Linked DNA regions of Sus scrofa. The protein of the gene in region 1 interacts with the protein of each later gene in a biochemical or structural test. Links are inferred from orthologs where the notes say so. Each region holds a gene or a part of one and is shown on either strand. Other genes may lie near its edges.

Region 1 (12,584 bases):
GTTCCTAGTAGTTAGAATAATGCTTGGCAATGATAGGTGCTCAAAATATAATTTTAAATCAATGAGAACATTTTATTATGTGTCTGACTCCTTAGTCCTCAGCCAGCTTCTCTAGCTTTATTTTGGTGCATCTTGTTTTCTATTCTTAGCACTAAAAACACAGCACCTGGCACATGGCCTTGTACATAACTGTCACTTAGTAACAAATGAATGGATAAATGTTACATCCTAGGCTTTGCTTAAGTTTAATTAGCTCCATCTCCCTCTTGGAGAGTTTCTTTTCCTTTTTTTTTTTTTTTTTTTTTTTTTTTTTTGTCTTTTCTATGGCCGCACCTGCACCATATGGAGATTCCCAGGCTAGGGGTGTAATCGGAGGTGTAGCCACCAGCCTACGCCAGAGCCAGAGCAACACCAGATCCGAGCTGCGTCTGCGACCTACACCACAGCTCACGGCAATGCCAGATCCTTAACCCACTGAGCGAGGCCAGGGATCAAACCCGAAACCTCATGGTTCCTAGTCAGATTCGTTAACCACTTCTTAAACCAAAGGGAACTCCCTTTCTTTCTTTCTCCCTGACCTCTGCTCCCACCCGCAGATCTTCTTTTCTTCCCACTTGCCCCTCTTCTTTTCTCATCTCTCTTTTTTTTTTTTTTTTTTCCTCACATTTATCCCTCTTCTCCTTTGTCTGCCTTTTTTTTTTTTCCTTTTGCCTTTTTAGGGCCGCACTCGCAGCATATGGAGGTTCCCAGGAGCTACAGCTGCCGGCCTACACCACAGCTCACCACGATCCCGGATCCTTAACCCACTGAGCGAGGTCAGGGATCAAACCCGAAACCTCATGGTTCCTGGTCAGATTCCTTTCTGCTGCGCCACCACGGAGAACTCCTCTGTCTGCCTTTCAATCTTCTTTTTTTTTTTTTTTTTTTTTTTTTTGTCTTTTTGTCATTTCTTGGGCCGCTCCTGCGGCATATGGAGGTTCCCAGGCTAGGGGTCCAATCGGAGCTGTAGCTGCCAGCCTATGCCAGAGCCACAGCAACGCAGGATCCGAGCTGCGTCTGCAACCTACACCACAGCTCATGGCAACGCCGGATCGTTAACCCACTGAGCAAGGGCAAGGATCGAACCTGCAACCTCATGGTTCCTAGTCAGATTCGTTAACCACTGCACCACGACGGGAACTCCCAATCTTACTTCTTTAGTCCATCATTTCTCCTTTCTTTCTCCAAATTCTCCTTTTCTGCATATTAATTGTTCCCTCATTTCCTCCTCTTACTCCTCTTTCTCTCAGGGAACCATAAAACATCAGAATCAGAACTGGCCTTAATCTCTCACTCTGCAGATACGGAAAAGGGGACACCACAAGATGGCACAATTTGCTTTAAGGTCACAGCTAGTGTAAAGCTGAATTAGGGCAAGATCTCAGATTATCCCTTTCTTCCTCCTCTGTCTTTCATTTCTGCTTTTTCTTTTCTTTCCTAGCACAGTGTTGGCATCCAACTTGCATTTGGGTCTCAGTTCCATCACTTATAGTGGCGGCCTTCAACAAATCATTTAACTTCTGTGATTCTCAGTGTCTTCACAAGTTAACAAAGATATTAACAAGCACCGCAAAGGTGTGTTGTAAAGATTAAATAAATAACAAGTTGAACAACAACATACACAGAAGAAGAAAACCCTACAGCTAACATCATATGAATAATAGGGAGAAACACGAAGTTTTCTAAGATCAGGGACAAGGCAAGAACATCCCCTCACCACTTCCTTTAACATTGTACGGGAAATCCCTGCTAATGCAATAAAGCAAGGAAAAGAAATAAAAGGTATAAAAATGGGGAAGGAAGACATAAAACTATCTTCATAAAGGAAGACATAAAATATGTTCATAGAGGACGAAATCTTTTATGTAGAAAATCCGAAAGCATCAACAACAAAACCTCCTAGAACCAATAAGCAATTCTAGCAAGGCTGCAGGATCCAAAGGTTAATACATATGATTTCTTTTTTTTTTTTTTTTTTTGGTCTTCTTGCTATTTCTTGGGCTGCTCCCGTGGCATATGGAGGTTCCCAGGCTAGGGGTCGAATCAGAGCTGTAGCCACCTGCCTACGCCACAGCCCAGCGACGCGGGATCCGAGCCGCGTCTGCAACCTACACCACAGCTCACGGCAATGCCAGATCATTAACCCACTGAGCAAGAGCAGGGACAGAACCCGCAACCTCATGGTTCCTAGTCAGATTCGTTAACCACTGCACCACGACGGGAACTCCCAAAGGTTAATATATAAAAGTCAACTGCTTTACTGTAAACCAACAATGAACAAGTGGAATTTGAAATTAAAAATACAATGTCATTGAGCGACTCCAAAATGTGAAATTCTTAAGTATAAATTTAACAAAGCATGTGTAAGATCTATGAGGAAAACTACAAAACTGTGATAAATAAAATCAGAGAACTAATTAAAGGGAGAAACAATCCACATATCTGGATAAAAAGATATGGTCAAAACATCAGTTCTTCCCTGGAGTTCCCATTGTTGCTCACTGGGTTAAGGACCCCAGGTTGTCTCTGTGAGGATGCAGGTTTACCCCTGACCTCACTCAGTTGGTTAAGGACCCAGCATTGCTGCAAGCTGCAGCATAGGCTGCAGATGCTGCTTGGATCCCAAATTGCTGAGGCTGTGGCTGTGGCCAGGGCCTGCAGCTGCAGCTCCAATTCGATCTCTAGTGCGGGAACTTCCATATGCCGCAGATGTGGCCCTAAAAAGAAAGAAAAAAATCAGTTTCCTTCCCAACTTGACCTATAGACTCAATACAATTGCAACCACAATTGCGGGAAATTATTGTAGGGATATCAACAAACGGGTTCTAAAGTTTATATGGATGACACTAATCAACATGTTCATGAAACAAAAACAGACCCACAATATAGAGAACAGACTGTGGTTGCCAAGGGGGAGGGGGTTGGGAGAGTGAAGGATTGGGAATGTGGGATTAGCAGAGACAAACTATTATATGTAGAATGGATAAACAAGGTCCTACTCTATAGCACAGGGAACTATATTCTATATTCTGTGATAAACTGTAATGGAAAAGAAAATTAAAAAGAATATATTTGTATAACTGAGTCACTTTGCTGTACAGCAGAAATACAACATTGTAAATCAACTATACTTCCATAAAATTTTTGAAAATAATAAAAATAAGTGTACCAGGAGTTCCCGTCATGGTGCAGTGGAAACAAATCCGACTAGGAACCATGAGGTTTCGGGTTTGATCCCTGGCCTTGCTCAGTGGGTTAAGGATCCGGCATTGCCATGAGTTGTGGGGCAGGTCGCAGATGTGGCTTGGATCTGGTGTTGCTGTGGCTGTAGTGTAGGCTGGTAGCTATAGCTCCGATTAGACCCCTGGCCTGGGAACCTCCATGTGCCACGGGTGCAGCCCTAAAAAGACAAAAGACAAAAAAAAAAAAGTATCAAACTTCCAGTTATAAGATAAATAGGTACTAATGATGTAATATACAACATAATGTATGGTATAGTGGTTAGTTAACATTGTTGTATTGCAGATTTGAAAGTAGTTAAGAGTTCTCATCACATTGACAAAATTTTTTTTTTGATATATATATATATATATATATATGAGATGATAGATATTAACTGAACTTACTATGGTGGAGGAGTTCCCATTGTGGCTCAGTGGGTTAAGAACCCAACTAGCATCCATGAGGGCACAGGTTCAATCCCTGGCCTCGCTCAGGGGGTCAAGGGTCGGGTGTTGCTGTAGGCTGTGGTGTAGTTCACAGATCTGGCGTGGCTGTGGCTGTGGTGTAGGCCAGCAGCTGCAGCTCCGATTGGATCCTAGCCTGGGAACATCCATATGCTGCATGTGCAGCCCTAAAAAGCAACAAATAAACTTTGAGCTTAAAGTCCCTTCAGCAATAGCTCCAGCAGCCTACCAGTTCTGATTTTTCTCTTCATTTAACGACGTCTTTCCCTTTCTCCTCTTTCCATTACATATAAATTATTTCACTTCTCTGAGCCTCACTTTTCCCATCTGGAAAATGGAAATAATAATGGACTTTTTACACGCATCAAATGAATTAGGTAAAGCTGTTAGCTCAGTGCCTCATACAAGTGCCTCCAAGATATCATTAACATTGCTCTGATTTAACCTTCTGTAAGCCTGGTAGGAGATACAAAACACTACGAAAAGGTTAGTTGTTTATTTTTGCCCCCTAAAGTATTGTGGTAAATTGGAAAGATGGCTCCAGGCTCGAATAGACATGGGCTCCAAATAAAACTCTGGATTTTTTGTTTGTTTGTTCGTTTTTTTGCTTTCTTTGGGCCGCTCCCGCGGCATATGGAGGTTCCCAGGCTAGGGGTCCAATCGGAGCTGTAGCCACCGGCCTATGCCAGAGCCACAGCAACGCGGGATCCGAGCCGCGTCTGCAACCTACACCACAGCTCACGGCAACGCCAGATCGTTAACCCACTGAGCAAGGGCAGGGACCGCAACCTCGTGGTTCCTAGTCAGATTCGTTAACCACTGCGACACGACGGGAACTCCAAAACTCTGGATTTTTATGAGCTTCAATGTATGCCTTCCCTGCAGCTAGGATTTTTTTTCCTTCTCCAGGAATCAAAAGGGTTAATGTACAGGAATGCATCATTCAGTACATTTGCAAACATGAGAGATGGCGTCCTGGAAACACCATGGAGACACTGTACAGTTATGAGAATTCAATGGGTCAAATTTTAATTTTAAAAGATGCCTGAACAACAGTAAGCCTTCAATACGTGTTAGCTATTACTATTTACCGTTTCCACACTTGTCTCTTTCTCCTCCAAAAAAATGAGTGGTTGCAATAAAAATGAGACGATCTCTGCAGCTCAACTTCTATGGTCTCCCTCTCTCCTCCTCGTTTCACACCACCTTTTTCCTTATGTCCCTCTCTTTTTTTTTTAATTATTTTTTATTTTTTATTATTTTGTCTGCTATTTCTTTGGGCCGCTCCCGCGGCATATGGAGGTTCCCAGGCTAGGGGTCAAATCGGAGCTGTAGCCACTGGCCTATGCCTGAGCCACAGCAACGCGGGATCCGAGCCGCGTCTGCAATCTACGCCACAGCTCACGGCAACGCCGGATCCTTTAAGCCAATGAGCAAGGGCAGGGACCGAACCCGCAACCTCATGGTTCCTAGTCGGATTCGTTAACCACTGCGCCACGACGGGAACTCCCCTCTCTTTTTTTTAAATCCCCCTCTCTTTCGATTACAGCTTTTCTCTTGCCTCGGGAACTCTGACAAATTTTCAGACCTCAGCCAGCCTGAAGCTGACGCAGAACTAGCCGGTAGCAGGCTATCGCCAAGAGTTCCCTCTGCAAACAGCCTCTTGCGCTTGTCCAATAAAGTTTTATTGAAACAAAGCCGAGGAAAGGGCGCCCGTCATTCTTTCCGCAAGAGCCAATCAGAGAGCAGAACGCCTGCGTCGCTCTTGGGATCTTCATCAGTCGGAGGCGGGGACGGAGCATGTCCCGCCTGAAACCCGCCCCGTGAGAGCGGAAAGTAAGGCCGGAAGCCAGCCATAGAGTTTAGGGGCCAGAGCGACCGTGCAGGGAGGTGGCAGGAAAGGCTGGGAACAGCTGCCGGAGGTGACGGAGCGGTGGCCCCGCCCAGTGCGCTGGAAGAAGAAGCTTCCAGGTAGCGGCCCGCGGAGTCTGACCCAGAGTACGACGAGGCAGTCGGCGGGAGCCCACGGTCCCTGGGCGGCCTCTTTAAGGGAGGGGGCGGAGCCACGTGGAAGGATCGCGAGGGTGAGGTCACGTGGTTCGGGGCACCTGCGGGGTACTGTGGATTTGAGGGAGCGTCGTCCCGGTGGATACTATGTGACATCACCTCCCCCACTACGACTTGTGCCTTGGGGTTCATTGGGGTGCACGTGGTGGGGCTTGAGGTTAGGCCCAGGGTTGGGGGAGGTGGGCGTGGCAGCCGGATTTTAGCCAGGCTTCCTTCAAAGTGCCCGATTTTAGGGTTCCTAGGTCCGATGTTAGACTGCTCGATCTCTGGGTTGCGAGATAGAGCGAACTTTATTGTTGCGAAAGTGGCTCAGTGTCTCCAGTCCAGCCCTTATCTCTTGTGCTTTTCATCCTCCCCTGTTCAAGGAACTTCGCCTTCACATTCTCTTTCCTTGCAGCTCCAGACTTCCTGAGCCCAGGTCCCCCCAGCTCAGTGCAGCCATGAGTGCGGAGGTGAAGGTGACAGGGCAGAACCAGGAGCAATTCCTGCTCCTGGCGAAGTCGGCCAAGGGGGCAGCGCTGGCCACACTCATCCACCAGGTGCTGGAGGCCCCTGGTGTCTACGTGTTTGGGGAACTGCTGGATATGCCTAATGTTAGAGAGGTGGGTTCCTGACCTGGGTAGCCCACAGGGCAGCTTGACTAAAGTTTGAATTTGAGAACAGGCGGCCCGGGCTTATTTCGCAACCCCATGACCATACAGTTAAACAAGAATATGGTAATAATTAACCAACAGCTTGCAGAAATAAGTAGGCAAGTAAACCTCTTAGTTTCCCTTTGAGGATGAATGATCTGTAAAACTGAGTATTTTTCATTTTTGAACAAAGAGCCTGCGATTCAGAGTAGGAGACCTGATTCCAGCCTGTCTCTATCAGTGTAATAGCTCTTAATAATCATATGATCTTGATCAGGTTTCTTTAATTTTAGGCCCTAAATTTTCTCTTTTAAAAAAATGCTCCTGATACAATCCCTCACTCTTGTAGGAATCAGATGAAATTATGGGAAAGTAAAGTCTGGTACAAATGGAATAACTGACTGTGAAATTGGCATGCTCTGTTCTCTCCCCCTTTGCACCATATGCTAATTCACTTCAGTTAGAGTAGGTAGAAAGTGTCTTTTTCCCAAAGACACATAGCAGCATGCTAGGAACACAGAACTGTTCGCACAGAAGTGGCAGAGTTGAGTTTGAAGTCCACAGTGAGTGGGTTGCCAAGATATATGTCACCAACCCAACCCCCAAGATGGTATAACAATGGTAGGTGGGCAAACTGAGTTACGCTTTTGAGGGTCAGTGATTCAGTGGATTTAGCCTTTGGGGAACCTTCTGGTCTGAAGAAAGCTGGCTGCCTTCTTTCCCTGATGTCCTCTGCAGTGGAACTAAAAAGAATCAAGGTGAAAAAAAAGAACCATGTTTTGGGTGCCTGTTTAACACCTTGCTAGTTGAAGTTCCCATTGTGGCTCAGTGGAAATGAATCTGATTAGTATCCATGAGAATGTGGGTTCAATCCCTGGCCTCACTCAGTGGCTTAAGGATCTGGTGTTGCTGTGAGCTGTGGTGTAGGTCACAGACGCGGCTCAGATCTGGCGTTGCTGTGGCTGTGGTGTAGGCCGGTAGCTACAGCTCTGATTCGACCCCTAGCCTGGGAACCTCCCTAAAAAACCTGCCAAAACCCTACTGGTCATCTGGGAATACCAGAAGAGTACAAGATACAGTGCTCCCCTTCTGAGACTTACATTCCAGTTGCAGAGATAAGATGGATGGATATCCATGAATAAGACATTTATTTAGCAAGTGTTTAGTGGCAGTGCCAATCACATGCACATCTCTGCTAGACCTAAGTGGATTATAAGAGGCTGAGTCTGTGACCTTGTTGAAAAATACCCTTAGGTAACAACCTTAGGTGGGCTTTGACTTAGTGGATGATCAGCGGTGGGAGGAGAGGAGGCTGTGCTGGCCTGAGTGGGTAATGAAAGCTCCTGGGTGAGGCTGGGCTGAAGCAGAGACCACAGATCCCAGGGCCTGCCCAGACCGTACAGCTGTCGGGGGAGTGAGGCTGAGGCAGAAGTTGTTGGTGACTTAGGTAATACAGCAGATTCCCTAAAGATTTTCAAAATTGGAAATGTTAAATACTCTTTAAGGACCAAACAACATAGTTTGCAACATAAACGCTCTGAAAGTTTTCAGCCCTGAATGAGGGTAGGAATTGGAGGCAGATGGAGGAAGAGGGCGTTGTGGATTGGGGGCATAGCATAAACAAGGGCCTGGAGGTGGAAATGAGGCCTTGCTGTGGGAAGAGTGATCAGAGAGGCAGAGGGTTGCTGTCGGTGAGCTGCTGTGAGAGCTCCTGTTAGAGGGGAAAGCTGGGTCCAGAAAGTGGAATTCAAACAGGGTAGGGCTGGGAGGGTGGAGAGAGAGGCCCCTCCACTCACCTCTTCTCTCCCCTCATGTTCTTGCAGCTGGCTGAGAGTGACTTCGCTTCCACGTTCCGGCTGCTCACGGTGTTTGCTTATGGGACATACGCTGACTACTTAGGTATCCGGAGGGGCCGGAACTCTGGAGATGGGAGATGGGCAGTTTATGTAGAAGAAATTCTTGAGATACCTGACTTAGATCCCATAGGTACAGGGTCAAGGTCAAGACCCAAATTGGCACAGAAAACTCAAAAAAAAAAAAAAAAGAAAAGAAAAGAAAAATCAAGAGGAGAGAGGCTAGGGCTTCCCACACAAGTGAAATCAGGATTTTCTATACCTTGTTTTTTTTTTCTAGCTGAAGCCCGGAATCTTCCCCCACTCACAGAGGCTCAGAAGAATAAGCTTAGACACCTGTCAGTTGTCACCCTGGCTGCCAAGGTCAAGGTGAGTGACAGACCCCCCAGTCCTGAGCCAGGGAGCACTTTTTTGTGTCGGCTTCACAAGGGCCCATCTGAAGGGAATTGCACTGGGACAGCTTTGACCACAGTGGTGCTTCTTCCTGTTTCCCCACATTCCTCCAAGGTCTGTGTCTTACTCTGATACCTGTGGCCCTTTAGGTGGAACGTTATTCTCCCAGCTTTCTATTTTGTTTTTCTTTTTTTTTTTTTTTTTTTATTGCTTTTTATGGCCACACCCACGGCATATGGAGGTTCCCAGGTGAGGGGTCGAAGCAGAGCTACAGCTGCCTGCCTGTGCCACAGCCGCAGCAGTGCAGGATCCGAGCAACATCTGTGACCTGCACCACAGCTTATGGCAACGCTGGATCCTTAACCCACTGGGCAAGGCCAGGGATCGAACCCACAACCTCTTGGTTACTAGTCAGATTCATTTCTGCTGTGGCACAACCAGAACTCCTCTATTTTGTTTTTCAACCCACTTATGTTCTAAGTAAAACATCTTTTGTGTGTCAGGTCAGAATAGCAGCTAGGATGCCACTCACTGTGTTATTCCTCAGCCCATTCCTCCCACTGTATGAAGTCCGTGGAAGCAGCTGCAGTGGCCAGAGCTGGGACACACTCGCTCCTGGTGACGTAGCAGGCTTCTATTTGCTTGAATAAAAAATACATAACCCAGAAGCATCTTTGTATTTCCTGTTGGGTTCCATTCTTGTTAACTGTTTGCCCATCTGCATCTCCCAGTTGTTCCCTGACTCTCCCATCATCCCCATGGTTTGGCTTAAATCAGGCTCACTGCCTCTTTGGAAGGAGACCGTGTATAAATGATAAACAGAAGAGCTCCAGCCTCTCCTCCACCACAGCGTCCCGTAGGTCAAGCTCGTCTTGACCACATCCGTGTACTGTCCTGAGCTGAGCCAGAGGGTTGACACCCAGGCAGATGTCACCCTGTGGTGGGCTGGGCATTGAGGGGAGCATAAATGTTTTCCTTAAGATTGTCCTTTTTGGAGTTCTCCAGTAGCCTTGCAGGGTAAGAATCAGGCGTTGCCAGTGCTGAGGTTTGGTTCCCTGCTGTGTCTCGGGTTTGATCCCTGGCCCAGGAACTTCCCCATGGTGTGGGTGTGCCTGAAAAAAAAGTTGCAGAAAGGAAAATAATATTAAAAAAAAAAGTTCCCATTGTGGCTCAGTGGCATAAGAACCTGACATAGTGTCTGTGAGGATGCAGGTTCAACCCCTGGCCATGCTCAGTGGGTTAAGGATTTGGCGTTGCCACAAGCTGCTGTGTAGGTCGCAGATGCGGCACGGATCCGGGGTTGCTGTGGCTGTGGTGTAGGCTGACAGCTGCAGCTCTGATTTGCCCCCTAGCCTGGAAACCTCTGTGCCACAGGTGGGGCCGTCAAAAAAGACAACAACAGTCATAAATACATAAATGTGAACGATTCTCTTTCTTAGGATGTTATTTATCAGGTGGGAATACTTTCATTTATTTTGCCTTAGAACCTGCCTTTTACGGAAAGTGATTGAGGAGGAGGACTGGAGGGCGGGCAGTGGGGGAAGGAGGGAAGAAGAATCTTGGAAGCCCTTCTCTGTGCGGAACCTCACAGACCGCAGCCCGACCTCCGGGCCCCAGTGTATCCCATATGCAGTGCTGCTGGAGGCCCTGGCCCTGCGGAACGTGCGGCAGCTGGAGGACCTGGTCATCGAGGCCGTGTACGCCGACGTGCTTCGCGGCTCCCTGGACCAGCGCAACCAGCGGCTGGAGGTTGACTACAGCATCGGGCGGGACATCCAGCGCCAGGACCTCAGTGCCATTGCCCGAACCCTGCAGGAGTGGTGAGACCTGGGTCCCGGCACTGTCCCTCCTCTGCTGGCCCCAAGAAGGGAGGGCTGCTTTGGTGGAGGCCGGGGGTGGGGGGGGGGGGTGGCTGGGCGGCAGAGGCACCCCCCAGGAGCCTGAAGAGGAACTGGGAGGAGGAAGGGGGGGTCCTCTTGAGGGGATCCTCCCTGGGGGGTGGGCCAGGCAGGATGCAGTATGACCAGCGCTGTCCACAGGCCTTGGGCCTCTCTCACTTCTGTTTTCTCTGTGTTCTTATCTGACTTGGGTTCGTTAACACAGCTTCTTTTCTTCCTCTGGAGCACGTCCTGCCCCGTTGTGGGTTTAGTTCCTCGCCCATCACTCCAGGCACTTGCTTTCTCCTCCCTTAGCCTACCGGAGTGTCCTTAAGGCTCCCGGGGATCTCGTTGAGGTGGTTTCCACGGGGCCAGGCGAGGCTTCTAACGCAGACAGGGCTCCGGCTGCCCGGGTCTCGGGGTGTCTCTGTGTCCGTCTCGGGAGTCTGTGCTCGCAGCCCTCTGCTGACCCTCCTCCCGCCGGTTCGTGCAGGTGTGTGGGCTGCGAGGTGGTGCTCTCTGGCATTGAGGAGCAGGTGAGCCGGGCCAACCAGCACAAGGAGCAGCAGCTGGGCCTGAAGCAGCAGATCGAGAGTGAGGTGAGCAGGCAGGGGAGCAGGCCGGCCCGAGCTCCCACAGCTTCGGCTGGTTGTCCTGGGCAGAGGGGTCTGGACCGGTGCTGTAGCAGGCAGACCCGTTGGGCAGGGACCGCCAGGTTCTGGAACCTTCCTTGGTTTCCTTCCTTTCCTTCTGGTAGGTCGCCAACCTTAAAAAAACCATCAAAGTTACTACCGCAGCCGCTGCCGCAGCCACATCTCAGGATCCCGAGCAACACCTGACGGAGCTGAGGGAACCGGCTCCTGGCACCAACCAGCGCCAGCCCAGCAAGAAAGCCTCGAAGGGCAAGGGGTGAGCCAGTGTGGTGGGGGCCGCTCGCTTATGGGGTGCCCTGCTTCTGCTCCTCCCTCTCCCCTCTAGTCTTTTGCACACGGCTAGGGAACAGGGGAGCTGGCAGGGCCTGGGAGGGTCCCTGCATCCTCTCTCTCTCTCTTCCCCTTGCCAGGCTCCGAGGGAGCGCCAAGATTTGGTCCAAGTCGAACTGAAGGGACTGTCGGTTCTTCCCCGGATGTGGGTCCTAGCTGCCTGCCTGCCCCTTAGGAGTCCTCAGAGAGCCTTCCTGTGCCCCTGGCCAGCTGATAATCTAGGTTCATGACCCCTCCCCGCCCTTCTCTCCCCCACCCCCAAGCAGAGATGACACCTTCTCTAGGGAGGAGGCAAGTACAAGTCATGTTTTTGTTGGTACTTTTTGTTTGATGTGACTTTCTTGTGTGTCCCATTGTCCCCTCCTCCTCCCTGCCATGCTCTGTCCCCTATTTCTTTAGGAGCCAGCATCTGTCCCTGTTTATCATGTCACTGAGTAGGTGAGGTGGTTGCATCTCCAGCATAACCCACACCTGTCGGTCCTGCCAGCGCCCCCCTCCCCGCATGCTGAACCCTGACTCCTGCCCCTGCCCCTGCCCCAGTCTCCTTGGGCAGCCTGCCCAGAGCCCTAGGGCTCCCACCTTTGTTTCCACCCTGAGAGTTCTGGGAGCCAGCCGGCCCTCCCAGGAGTCCCTGGACACACACATCCTAGAGTCCTATCTCACTACAGTTGTTTCCTTTCCTCTCTCCTCCCCTTGGGTCCTGGGAATGCTGCTGCTTCCATGTCCCCAGAGCCTAAGGGCTGCTGTTTCTCGAGCTATTGCGATATGGTTCTTTCCTGGGCCTGTCTTAGAAAGCCTGATGGCAGTCCCGGAAGGATTTACACTTCCTTTTGTGAGTTTGATGGGGAAGGGAAGGGGATAGAAAGTGTATAAAAAAAGAGTATATATACATATATCTATATATAACATGACACAGAAATAAATCTATGAGAAGTCTATCTACAAACATGCCCTGAGCTGGGTATCTCTGTCTTTGGTACTGGGAGATGGGAAGAAGGCTCATTTCCAGTCCATCCTAAAGAAAAGTGCTAGAAAGAGAAAAGAACCAGGAGTT
Region 2 (11,971 bases), on another chromosome or scaffold:
AGACAAACTATCATCTTAATTTTTTCATTGTTTTTCCATCTCATTTGCTCTAGTATCATAAACCCAACAACCCACTGAACCCACTGTGACCCCAAACCACTGATCCTACTACACCGTTACTGTTATTCTCCCCCTTAAAGGCCTCCCTTCCCTCCTCACCTGGCCCAACTCCCAAGGTCAATCATTACAATCACTGAGTTGCATCTGCACTCGTCTCCCTTGTCCCTCTCATGCTGTCATACTTGTTGGGCAAAATCGTAATGCTGGTTAAACCTAACAGTCCACCCACCGCTTTCCTGCAACCGCGCAGCTGAACTCTGATGGAGAAAAACGCCCAACCCATCGAACCTGACCTCACTTTTCGACCGTGAAACGGCCTTTAATGCTGCCAAGTGCGCTGTGCATTCCTGGTCCATTCACGGTCTCACTCTCCTAGAGACCTGATCTTCTGATCTCCTCTCCTCGGCCTCACAGTCCCCACCACCACCCACGCCTCCAGCTGATGCCCGATTCCAATCCCACAGTGCCTGCACAAACCCCTCGCCCCATCACCACTACCTGTACCCATGTACTCTGTGTTCCTGCCTGTTATCATAGATCCCTGGGGCTCTTCTGCCCACCAGCGAACATCCAGCAATGTCCACAGACATTTTTGACGGTCACAACTAGGAGCAGTGGTGCTGCTGACATCCACTGCGTGGAGAGACCCCCAATGCTACTAAACATCCTGCAATATACAGGAGTCCACAGCAAAGAATTATGCAATCTAAAATGCAAGAGTGGGGTTCCCACTGAGGCGTTACAGGATCAACTGCATCTTGGGACGCAGGTTCCATCCCTGGCCAGAACAGTGGATTAAGGACCTGGCGTTGCCTCAGCTGAAACAGAAGTTGCGACTGCAGCTCAGATCGGATCCCTGGCCCGGAATGCCGTAAGGAAAAAAAAGAGAAAGCAACAGTACTAAGGGAACGACCCAGCCTCCTATCTGAAGCCTACCCCTCCACTGGATTCCTTCGCCTCTTGCCTCCTCCTGCAGGAATCCTCTAGGAGTTCCCTGGTGGCTCAGGAGGTTAAGGACCCAGCATTGTCACTGCTGTGGCTCGGATCACTGCTATGGTGCAGGTTCAATCCCTGGCCTGGGAACTTCTGCATGCGGTGGCTGCAGACCAAACAAAAAAAAACAATCCTTCCCACTACTCCCCATGTCAAATTTTTGCTTTCCACTCACTCATAAAAGAAAACATAACCTCAGCCGCTGCTGTCACCTCCTACCCTATTTCTCTGCTCCCCTTTATGAAAACTTCCCCAAAGAGCTGATCAGCTCATCACCTCCGGGGCTCCTCCTTCCACTCTCTCTTAACCAACTCCAACGAGGCTCCCATTCCCACCATTTCCCCAAACAGCTTCTGTCAAGGTCCCCAACGACCTCCGTTACTAACTTCCAAGGTTAACCTTCACCCTCCTCTTACTTGACCATCAGCCCCACGCTGGTCACTTGCTCCGTCCTGACACAGTCCCCTCATTTGACTTACAGGACAGTGCACTCCACCCTCTTCCGATTTGTCTTCTTACCCCAGTGGACAACCCTTACCAGCTGCGCCCTCCTCCCGCCCTGACCCCTGATGACAGAGTGCTCACTGCTCAGTCCCCTCACCGCAGCCCCTCCCTCGGCGATCTCGTCCAGCCCGAAGGCTTTAAACTCCGTCTAGACACCAATGACTCCCAACTGTCATCTCTAGTCCAGACTCATAAACAGTCGGCTCTCTACCAGATGCTGCCCCTCGGTTACCACAGGTCCACAAGAGAGCACCTGATCTTCCCTCAAATCTATTCTTCACCATTCAACAGACGGCAACTCTTTTTTCCAATTGTTCGGACCAAAAATCAGAACTTATCTAGGCTCTTTTTCTTATAGTCCATATCCAAGCTGTCAGAAAATCCTTAGCTTTACCTTAGAAACACACCCAGAATCCAGCGTTTCTCACACTCTCCATCTCAGCTGCAGGAGTGCACAGCCTCCTACATCCTGCCCTACAACGTCATTGCAGGTCTACGGTTTACTCTCCACCTGGTAGTTAAATATCAGTCAGGTCACATCAGTCCTCCGCACAAAACCCTCCAATGAGGCCCTGCTGTTTCACTTCGAAAAAAGGCAAAGACCTTACAATGGCTACAAGACCCCCCCAAAGCCGGTCCCAAGTATTCTCTGACCTCAACCTCCCTCGTTCTCCACTTTGCTTACCCGTCCAGAGGTCTCCCTGCCCTTTTAACACACTCCAAGTATGCTCCCACCCTAGGGCCTCTGCACCAGCCCTGCTCTCTAAGAGGCCCTACTGATGCTCTTCCCTCAGACAGCTCGCAGCCACTCCCTCCCCTTCTTCCGGCATTGGAGAAGGCGACCCCAGGACCACCCTACCACGCTGATGACACGGTTTAGTGACACATCCTGTCCCCGACTTTGCCGCCTTTCTCCACAGCACCGCTCACCTTCCAACAGCACAAAACTTATTTACTCAATTGGTCATTATCTGTTTCCTATACTAGAGTATAAGGAAAAAGTGAACAATTATACATATCCATCCAACGTCCACTACTATACTTTTGTCCTGTTTCCAAAGGAATTCCCACCAACACTTGGGCCGCATTTCTCCAATCTTCTTCTTTTTCATATATGGATGCAAGATGCTGTCTTATGGAAGCAACCTGGAATAGGAGGTATACGTGTTAAATTATTTCCACTGATACTAGTAACGCGAAGCCAGAAGATAATCTACTGTGAGAATGCTCGCATTCCACACACGAAGCAGGCAAGTCAACAGTAAGTTCACCTGGAACCCCCGGATTCGTCTATGAATCTTGCATTCAGAGTGTATCAAAATAATGAGCTGATGTGACACATTTCTACAATGCGGATCATGCAGTTATTTAGCTCAAATATCAAGGTTTGCTTTTACGTCGCTGCCTATATGACGGACCTCTCCTATGTTCTTGGCCGAATCAACAATTCTACTGCTGTTTGACAACTGTCTAGAGAGTAACATTTAGTTCATAAAACCAATCGTAGTAAATGAGCAAATATTAGCTGGACGTAAAACATCGTAATATTATTTGAGCTTACATTATAAAATGCTGTTCGGGGAGTTCCTATTGTGGCGCACCAGAAACAAATCTGAGTAGTAACCATGAGGTTTTGGGTTCGATCCCTGGCCTCACTCAGGGGGTTAAGGATCTGGCGTTGCCATGAGCTGTGGTGTAGGTTGCAGATGCGGCTTGGATCCTGCCTTGCTGTGACTGTGGTGTAAGTCGGCAGCTGTAGCTTCGATTCAACCCCTACCATGGGAACCTCCATATGCCATAGGTGTGGCCCAAAAAAGCAAAAAAAAAAAAAAATGTTTGGCACACTGTTTTGTAAAAATGAAACAATGATTATCACCTTTAAAAATGTAACGGCGTCTCTAAAAATAATTGCTGCTATCTCAAGGTCAAAAATCACCACTCTAATGGCCAACATTCTATAATAACCGTAAGTGGAATATAACCTTAACAATTATGAATCACTGTTTTACACCTAAACTTATATATATATAATATTGTACATCCACTATGCCTCAATTTAAAAAGAAAACACATCCTAAACAGATTCCTAAAAACAAAGCAAAACAAAAGTCAGTGCTCTAGGTTTTACCTGCTCCTCAAATGAAATGACTCTAGGCTGGATCTTTTCCAAGGTGAAATGATAGATTTCTTTGGCTGTGCTATCAGGCAGGTTAGGGAGATGTGTGCAGAAATCAGTCAGCAACTGGCGAGAGATCACGAGGCTAACGTTCTCATTTACCACTTGTTAAAAAAAATAAGGGATAAGAAAACATGAGTAATTTATGTGTTTCCATTAAGCAATCCATCTTTACTAAAATTAATACTAAAAATCATATGTATTAGTGAACCTCTCAAAGCATTGTTTAGGGATCTCCACACTCCACACACTCTTATATTACAGAACCAGTTTTCCTTATGCTGAATTATCTGATTACATAACTACAGCAAAACAGTAAAAATACCACAACTTTTCTAAGAAACAGAAATGGCTGGGGAAAAGTTTCAACAGTTGAGAATTTTATATCATTCCTTTCTCTTCTTTATTTCTCTATAAAGTGAAGAAACACTATTACTTTTTTTTTTTTTTTTTGCTTTTTAGGGCCGCACCTGCAGCATATGGAGGTTCCCAGGCTAGGGATCTAATCGGAGCTGTAGCCGCCGACCTACACCACAGCCACAGCAACTCTGGATCCTTAACCCACTGAGCAAAGCCAGGGATCGAACCCACAACCTCACGCTTCCTAGTCGGATTCGTTTCCTCTGTGCCACAATGGGAACTCCGAAACACTGTTACTTTTGTCTCTTTTTTCATTAAAGTATCATTGATTACAATGTTGCACCAATTTCTGCTGGACAGCAGAGTGCCTGGGTTCTACACAGACATTCGTGCTTTTTTACATTCTGCTCCATCATGGTCTGTCCCAGGAGACTGGAAACAGTTCCCTGTGCTGCACAGTAGCACGTTCTTGTTTTTCCTTTCTAAAGGACATCGCTCCGCATCCTCTAACCCCAACTCTTAGTACATCTCTCTCCCTCCCCCTCCCCACTGGCAACCACGAGTCTGTTTCTGTTTCGTAGATAGGTTCGTTTGTGCCACATTTTAGATTCCACCTGTGAGTGATATGGTGTGGTGTTTGCTGTTCTCTTTCTGACTTACTCCACTTATAATAATCCTCCCGTTGCATCCATGTTACTGCGAAAGGCATTGGTTTTTTTTTTTGGTTTTTTTTGTTTTAAAGGCTGCAGCTGAGGCCTATGGAGGTGCCCAGGCTAGGGGGTGAATCAGAGCTGTAGCCTCAGGCCTGCGCCACAGTCACAGCAACCCCAGATTCAAGCCACAGCTGTGACCTTCGCTGCAGCTCGAGGCAACACCAGATCCTTAACCCACGGAGCAAGGCTAGGGATTGAACTTGCATTTTCTTGGATCCTAGTTGAATTCTTAACCCACTGGGCCACAGTGGGAACTCCCATATGGTAATTCTCTTTAGTTTTTGGAGGAACCTCCCACCCACAGCATAGGCTGTTTTTTTTCTCCACACCCTCTCTAGCATTTGTTATTTGTATACTTTTTTTTTTTTTTTTTTTTTTTTTTTTTTTAACAAATTTTTATTTTTATTTATTTATTTATTTTTTTTGTCTTTTGTTGTTGTTGTTGCTATTTCTTGGGCCGCTCCCACGGCATATGGAGGTTCCCAGGCTAGGGGTTGAATCGGAGCTGTAGCCACCGGCCTACACCAGAGGCACAGCAACGCAGGATCCGAGCCGCGTCTGCAACCTACACCACAGCTCACGGCAACGCCGGATCGTTAACCCACTGAGCAAGGGCAGGGACCGAACCCGCAACCTCATGGTTCCTAGTCGGATTCGTTAACCACTGCGCCACGACGGGAACTCCCTGTTATTTGTATACTTTTTAATGATGGCCATTCTGACCAGTCTGAGGTGGGACCTCATTATAGTTCTAAGCTGCATTTCTCTAATAATTAGTGATGTTGAGTAGAAAAACCTATAGTTTCATTTGTGTTCTCATATCCCACTTCACTACAAAAATGAATAGAAAGCGAAATAATTTTCATGATGTTTAAATAGAGCAAGTAGTGACAGTTACTGCCACTTGTACTTTCCCCAAAAAAAGAAAAAATAAGATCTTTGATCAGCACTAGATGTATAGACATATTTCACGATACTGTTTATAAACATTTATGAGGTATGATTACATGTGATGAAGGATGAAGACTCTGGAGCCACACCACTTCCAAACACTCCTGATTATACGCCCTCCAACAAAAAACTTAACCTCTCTGTGCTTCTCTTTCCTCTTCTGTGAAATGTGGATAAGGCTGTCGTGAAGCTTAAGTGCAGTATTTATATAAAGTACTTTAAATAATACCTGGCACATGGCACTTAACACATTCCCGCTGCGTCATGATGGGAACTCCAGAAAACAGTTTCATTAAAAGTGCCGTAGACGCCTATAACTATTAGAAAGAAACCACTATAGGAGTTCCTGTCGTGGCTCAGTGGTTAACAAATCTGACCAGGAACCACGAGGTTGCGGGTTCGGTCCCTGGCCTCGCTCAGTGGGTTAAGGATCCGGCGCTGCTGTGAGCGGTGGTATAGGTCGCAGACAGGGCTCCAATCTGGCGTTGCTGTGGCTGTGGCGTAGGCTGGTGGCTACAGCTCCGATTAGACCCCTAGCCTGGGAACCTCCATATGCCGCGGGTGCAGCTCTAGAAAAGACAAAAAAAGAAAAAGAAAAAAGAAAGAAAGAAATTAGTATACAAACTAGCCTTCTCAGGGAAGTATAAGTAAAAGAAGAATTATAAATCAGAAAATCTAGTTTCTAGTCTGGGCTCTACCACTGACTAGCTGAATGTCCTTGGGAAAAAAGGTCACTTAATCCTGAGACACATTTTAAAATCTATTATACAGGGCTATCTACAGCTGCATTTTCAGTAGAGGGTTATGAAAAGAAGCTGTGTGATACATAATGTATGTGAAAGCACACTATCAAGTAGCATTAGTATTGTGAACTCAGAATAAATTCTCACCTGAATTTTGAGTTTTTTGCAAGATAACTGGGTATGTCTGAAATCAGGGAGTGGGGGAGGGTGTCTGGAAGAAGGGAAATTTCTACTTCCTGCTCGAAAGAAATGTTCGTAACATCAACAAACAGCTAACACTTACCTGGCACTTATCACATGCCAGGCGCTATTCTAAGCACTTTACTACGTATATTAACTCATTTAATCTCCCAACAATTCTACAGGGTACGTATCATACCCCCGTTTTACAGACGAGGAAAAGGAGACACAAAGAGGTTCTACAGCCTACCCAAGATCACACAGCTAACAAAACAGCAGACCAGGACTTGAATCCATTTGTTATATGGCCTTTCATCACTTACTCTGTCAACAACTATACAAAACTTTAACTGTGAATGTAACGATGTCTTCATAGTTCCTGAAAAACAATCCACTGTGAAGTTATAAGTGGCTTAAAGTCTAAAATCAATCAATCTCAATGCATATTTAATCTAACCTCAATGTAAATATATTGACAATTTGATATAAAACAAAGTCTGAGCAAGCTTTTAAGTCCTAACTCAGGAACATGAGGCAAACATGGATTTTTCATTCCACTTACTCGCTTCCACAAAAGCTTTCAAAGCTTCTAGTTGTTCTGCCCCAGATAACTGAATGGCTTTTTCTAGGATCTGACGATACCTAAAACAACACAAAAAATTACAATAAAATAGTGTTCAGGGGTTCCTGTTGTGGCTCAGCAGTAACAACCCCAACTAGTAGCCATGAGGACGTAGGTTTGATCCCTGCCCTTGCTCAGTGGATTAAGGATCTGGCGTTGCCGTGAGCTGTTGTGTAGGTCACAGAGGTGGCTCAGATCTGGTGTTGCTGTGGCTGTGGGGTAGGCCAGCAGCTTCAGCTCCAATTCAACCCCTGGCCTGGGAACTTCCACATGCCTTGGGTATGGCCCTAAAACAACAACAAAAAATAGTGTTTAGAGGGCACCATAGAGTTTAATGCTAACTTTGATGTTTGATGATTTCTGTTTACCCTGGTTTCCTTCGTAGGGCTCTAGTTTGTGATTTTCCTTATGGGATACTTCAGACTTTTTTTTAACTTTCCAGTACATCACAAGAAACCCTAAACCTCTCATTCCAAGTGCCATTTCTTCTAGTCTTCTTTAAAGTATACCACAATTGTTTCAGGTTTCATGCCCATAACAAGAAGAGTCAATCTGTAAGTTACAAGATCTAAGGTGGCCCTTTTTCTTTAAAGTTTTAGTTTTGAATTTAAAATTTCAATCTTCTTTCAAGTGCCTTCCTAAACGGTAAACTCCATGAGGATAGAGATTTTTGTCTTGTTTGCTGCTGTATGTACACAGCTAGAACAGTACATGGCACACTATAAGCACTCAGAAATACACCAGTATTAGTAATACTTCTTAAACTGAGTAATTGCCACATGAGCATGATTCTATTCTTATTCCTTTCGTTATTCTCAATCATAATATTTATTTACTTATTTATCTTCTGGCCATGCCACAACATGTAGAAGTCCCAGCGCCAGGGATCAAACCTACACCACAGCAGTGATAACGCTCGATCCTTAACTCACTGAGCCCCCAGCGACCATCCATAGTATTTACTAAAAGCACTAATTGATGCATTTTACACACCTAATTGCAATTATTCCGAACATTATCCAGAATATAGTCAAGAAATAAAAATATACAAATAGGGCCCAAACTCATTCAAATTTATGACTTGTATTTTGTAGGGCTTATCATCAAGCTACAATTCAGTACTTACTGGTTCTCAGCTCATGCAACATTGTCTGTCACGACCTTGGTTGTATGATTTCTCAAAAGGGCAATAAATCAAACTGACTTTGTAAGAAAGTAGGTAAACGGAGAGAAGAGAGCGCAAATTCCCAAAGGAGAGGCAAATTATTCCAAGAAAGGAAGGAAATACTATCAAGCTTTAAAATAAAAATTACTACTTTTAAAATTGCTACACTTAAGGGATAAAATACACTTATCTAAAAATTCATTTACAGGGAGTTCCCTGGTGGTCTAGTGATTTGGACTTGGTGCTTTCACCACTGCAGCCAAGTTCAGTCCCCGGTCTGGGAACTGAGATCCCACATCAAGCCACTGCACTCTATGGCCAAAAAAAATTAAACATATAAATAAAATTTAAAAAATTAATTTACATGGAATATCACATTCTCTCTATACATACATATATACACACATACATGCACATACATTTTCCATATCTATATTCAAACATTTACTTTATTGCCCTGGACATGTTTTAGTTAATGCATTCAATGGTTTGTTATTTCTTCTTTTGGATTGTCTTATTTTTCATATTCAATTAAATGAAGACTCTAGCTAAACTCTATTACTCTTATATTCCACAAGTTATTTTATACTAATATTATATTCAAAGACAACAATGCCTCACATAAAAATTTGCTAATAACTTAAGTTTTAGCGTATAGTTTCATAACTTATCCATCAATTGGTCTATATGGGGAACACCAAAACAAAAACAAAAACAAACTAAAACAATGGCAAAGATGGAAAAGTGGCTCATGTGGAGAACATGACAAGGACCAAATATGTTTTCATTAAAAAATATTATGGAGGAAAATAAATTGAATTAATGAAGGCAGTTTGCATCTGTCCTATCCATTTATCATCCACAAATGTTTACGGAGCATCTCTGATATCTGTGAACCAACATTCAGCATATCAATTCCCGATGTCTTGGCACTAAAAAGGAATCTAGAGGTGAATGAAACAGACACACGCAAATGTACCACTGTCACTACAGTAAAAACGAGTGTTAACAGGCATGTATTCACAGAGCTTTCACTTATAATCACAGTGAACCAGACACCTGAACCAACCCTATCTCAGAAAGAACATAGGAGGCTGAAAGAAATGATTAAAAAATTGATAGCATATAATTCTAACAAGAAAGAGCAAACACAAGAGACTAAGAGCGCCACGAAGGGAACCCGAGCTGGCGCTGGACGCCTTTGCTGACTGTGTGGAGAGCGGAGGGCAGAGACGACTCTTCTGGCAGCGAGAAACGAGCGGGTCTGCTTAGGGCTGTTCTGCCGCCTGCTAGAAATACCGAGCGTCCACATGCAATTTCTGATGACTAACAAAACTAGAACCGGGATCTGAGGTTTCTTACTTGCCAAGGGAGGAAACACGAGCACTCCGTAAGGTTCCAAATTCTATTCCAAGGATCACTGAGTAGGAAGACCGATAAATGTGGAAGCCTTGGCCCTAGACGGCTAGCATCATCAGGTGCCTGGCCGGAGAAATGAAAATCCTCTCTGAAAGGTAACGTCATAGGCCTCCAGGTGTTTCAAAAATACATTTTAAAATAATTTGCTGAAGGAGTTCCCGTCGTGGTGCAGCAGAAAGGAATCCGGCTAGGAACCATGAGGTTGCGGGTTCGATCCCTGGCTGTGCTCAGTGGGTTGAGGATCCGGCATTGCTGGGAGCTGTGGTGTAGGCCGGCAGCTGTAGCTCTGATTAGACCCCTAGTCTAAGAATGTCCATATGCTGAGGATGTGGCCCTAGAAAGACAAAAATAGTAATAATAATAATAAAATAAAATAATTTGCCCAACACCAAGATTATAAGACACATGACAATATTACCTGGAATCAATAAAAACAAACAATAGCAACAAACAGGAACACTAGATACTGGAGTTATCAGAAAGACTGAAATATGCTTATGCTTATCAAGTTTATAAAGACAAAGACAAGCTTTAAAATTTCAGCGAGAAACTAGGAACCATAAAAAATGTCATTTGGGAGTGCCCATTGTGGCGCAGCGGAAACAAATCCAACTAGGAACCACAAGGTTGCGGGTTCAATCCCTGGCCTCGCTCAGTGGGTTAAGGATCTAGTGTTGCTATAGCTGTGGTGTAAGCCAGCAGCTATAGCTCCGATTCGACCCCTGGCCTGGGAACCTCCATATGCCATGGGTGCGGCCCTAAAAAGACAAAAAAAAAGTGTCATTTGAAAAAAAGTATCACCCAAAACTATAGAACTAAAAAATATTACCAAACTTAAAACTCTGTGGAGTTCTTAACAGCAGATTAGACATATCGGAAGAACTGATAAACTAGAAAGCAAGTCAGAGGAACTTATCCAGAAAAAGCATTAAGATGGACAGTACAGAAGACAGAGTGAGGGCCAGGAAGGTCACAGTAAGAAGGCCCAACAGGGGTTTCACTGGCGTCCTAGGGGAGAAAACAGAACAAGACAGAGGCAACATTAAAAGAGAGATAGCTGCAAACCTCTCAGGACAATGAAATGACTCAATCCACTGATTCAAGAAACGCAATCAGCAGGTTAAAGACCCAGCGCCGTCACTGCTGCAGCTCAGGTCACTGCTGCAGTGTGTGTTCAACACCTCTGGCCCTTCTGCAAGGGGCAGAGGGCCGCCAAAAAGGAAACCAGAAAAGAAACGTGACGCAGCTCAACCCAGATAAGGCAGCAGCCCATTTCCACACTTCTCTTCCTTTCTGTATCCGCCCCTCTGCGATGTGAATTTGCAGCGCTTCACAGCCAAGAGGAGCGTTTCTTTCCCCGCCCTTTGATCTAGACCTGGTTCGACCAATAGAATGAAGCAGAAGTATAGTGCCTGTTCCAGTCTTAGACTTCCAGAGAATTTGTGTTTATCTTCGTCTCTTGGAATCTGGCTGTTGCCACAAGAATGAGTCCAGGCCAACCTACCAGATAATGAGATGATGTAGCCCAGTCACCCCACGGCCCCAGCCACACACAGAAGCAGAGCTGCCCGTCCGATCTGTAGCTGATGCCAGATGCACGGGGCGCCCCTGTGGAGCCAAGCCCATGTGGAGCAGAGAAGCATCAAGCAGCTGGATCCAGCCTAAACTGCTCATCCACACAACTGGGAGCTAAATCAATGATTGCTATTTTAAGCCACTAAATTCTGAGGGGTGGTTTATTTCACAACAAAAGCTAATTGACATAGATAAGTAAAAACAAATCCATCCGTACAGACACATCATAACAAACATGCAAAAAATCAAAGACAAAATCTTAAAAGCAGCTAAGGACTAACATGATGCTTTAGAAGAGAGAGGTTATTTCCTAATGAGGTGGGTCTTTAAGCATATTCTAAATATTTGAATTTAGTGTTAAGTGGGAAAGAGTGGAAGAAGACAGATATTCTGGGCAAAAAAACCAAAAACAAAACAAAAAACACTGTCTGAAATGTGGTCCAGTTTGGTGAAAATAATGTAAGACCAAAGGTAAGTATGTTTAGAGTTAAGGGCTTTGAGACAAACATG

What was found.
Region 2: the proteins of COPS7A (region 1) and COPS4 form a complex in vitro, tested with the Homo sapiens proteins (2 studies listed by BioGRID). The link is inferred for Sus scrofa from reciprocal best matches to the Homo sapiens genes COPS7A and COPS4.

What each region holds. Positions count from the first base shown.
Region 1 is NC_010447.5:63,970,437-63,983,020, reverse strand, and holds COPS7A (COP9 signalosome complex subunit 7a), read left to right. Parts: upstream 1-5,550; 5' UTR 5,551-5,696; exon of another isoform or gene 5,697-5,809; intron 5,810-5,813; exon of another isoform or gene 5,814-5,949; intron 5,950-6,189; 5' UTR 6,190-6,232; coding exon 6,233-6,394; intron 6,395-8,247; coding exon 8,248-8,323; intron 8,324-8,557; coding exon 8,558-8,646; intron 8,647-10,287; coding exon 10,288-10,490; intron 10,491-11,040; coding exon 11,041-11,146; exon of another isoform or gene 11,147-11,304; coding exon 11,305-11,456; intron 11,457-11,610; coding exon 11,611-11,650; 3' UTR 11,651-12,478; downstream 12,479-12,584.
Region 2 is NC_010450.4:135,297,713-135,309,683, forward strand, and holds part of COPS4 (COP9 signalosome complex subunit 4), read right to left. Parts: intron 9,950-11,971; exon of another isoform or gene 9,830-9,949; intron 7,323-9,829; coding exon 7,243-7,322; intron 3,838-7,242; coding exon 3,686-3,837; intron 2,704-3,685; coding exon 2,600-2,703; intron 1-2,599. UniProt on the Homo sapiens protein: Component of the COP9 signalosome complex (CSN), a complex involved in various cellular and developmental processes.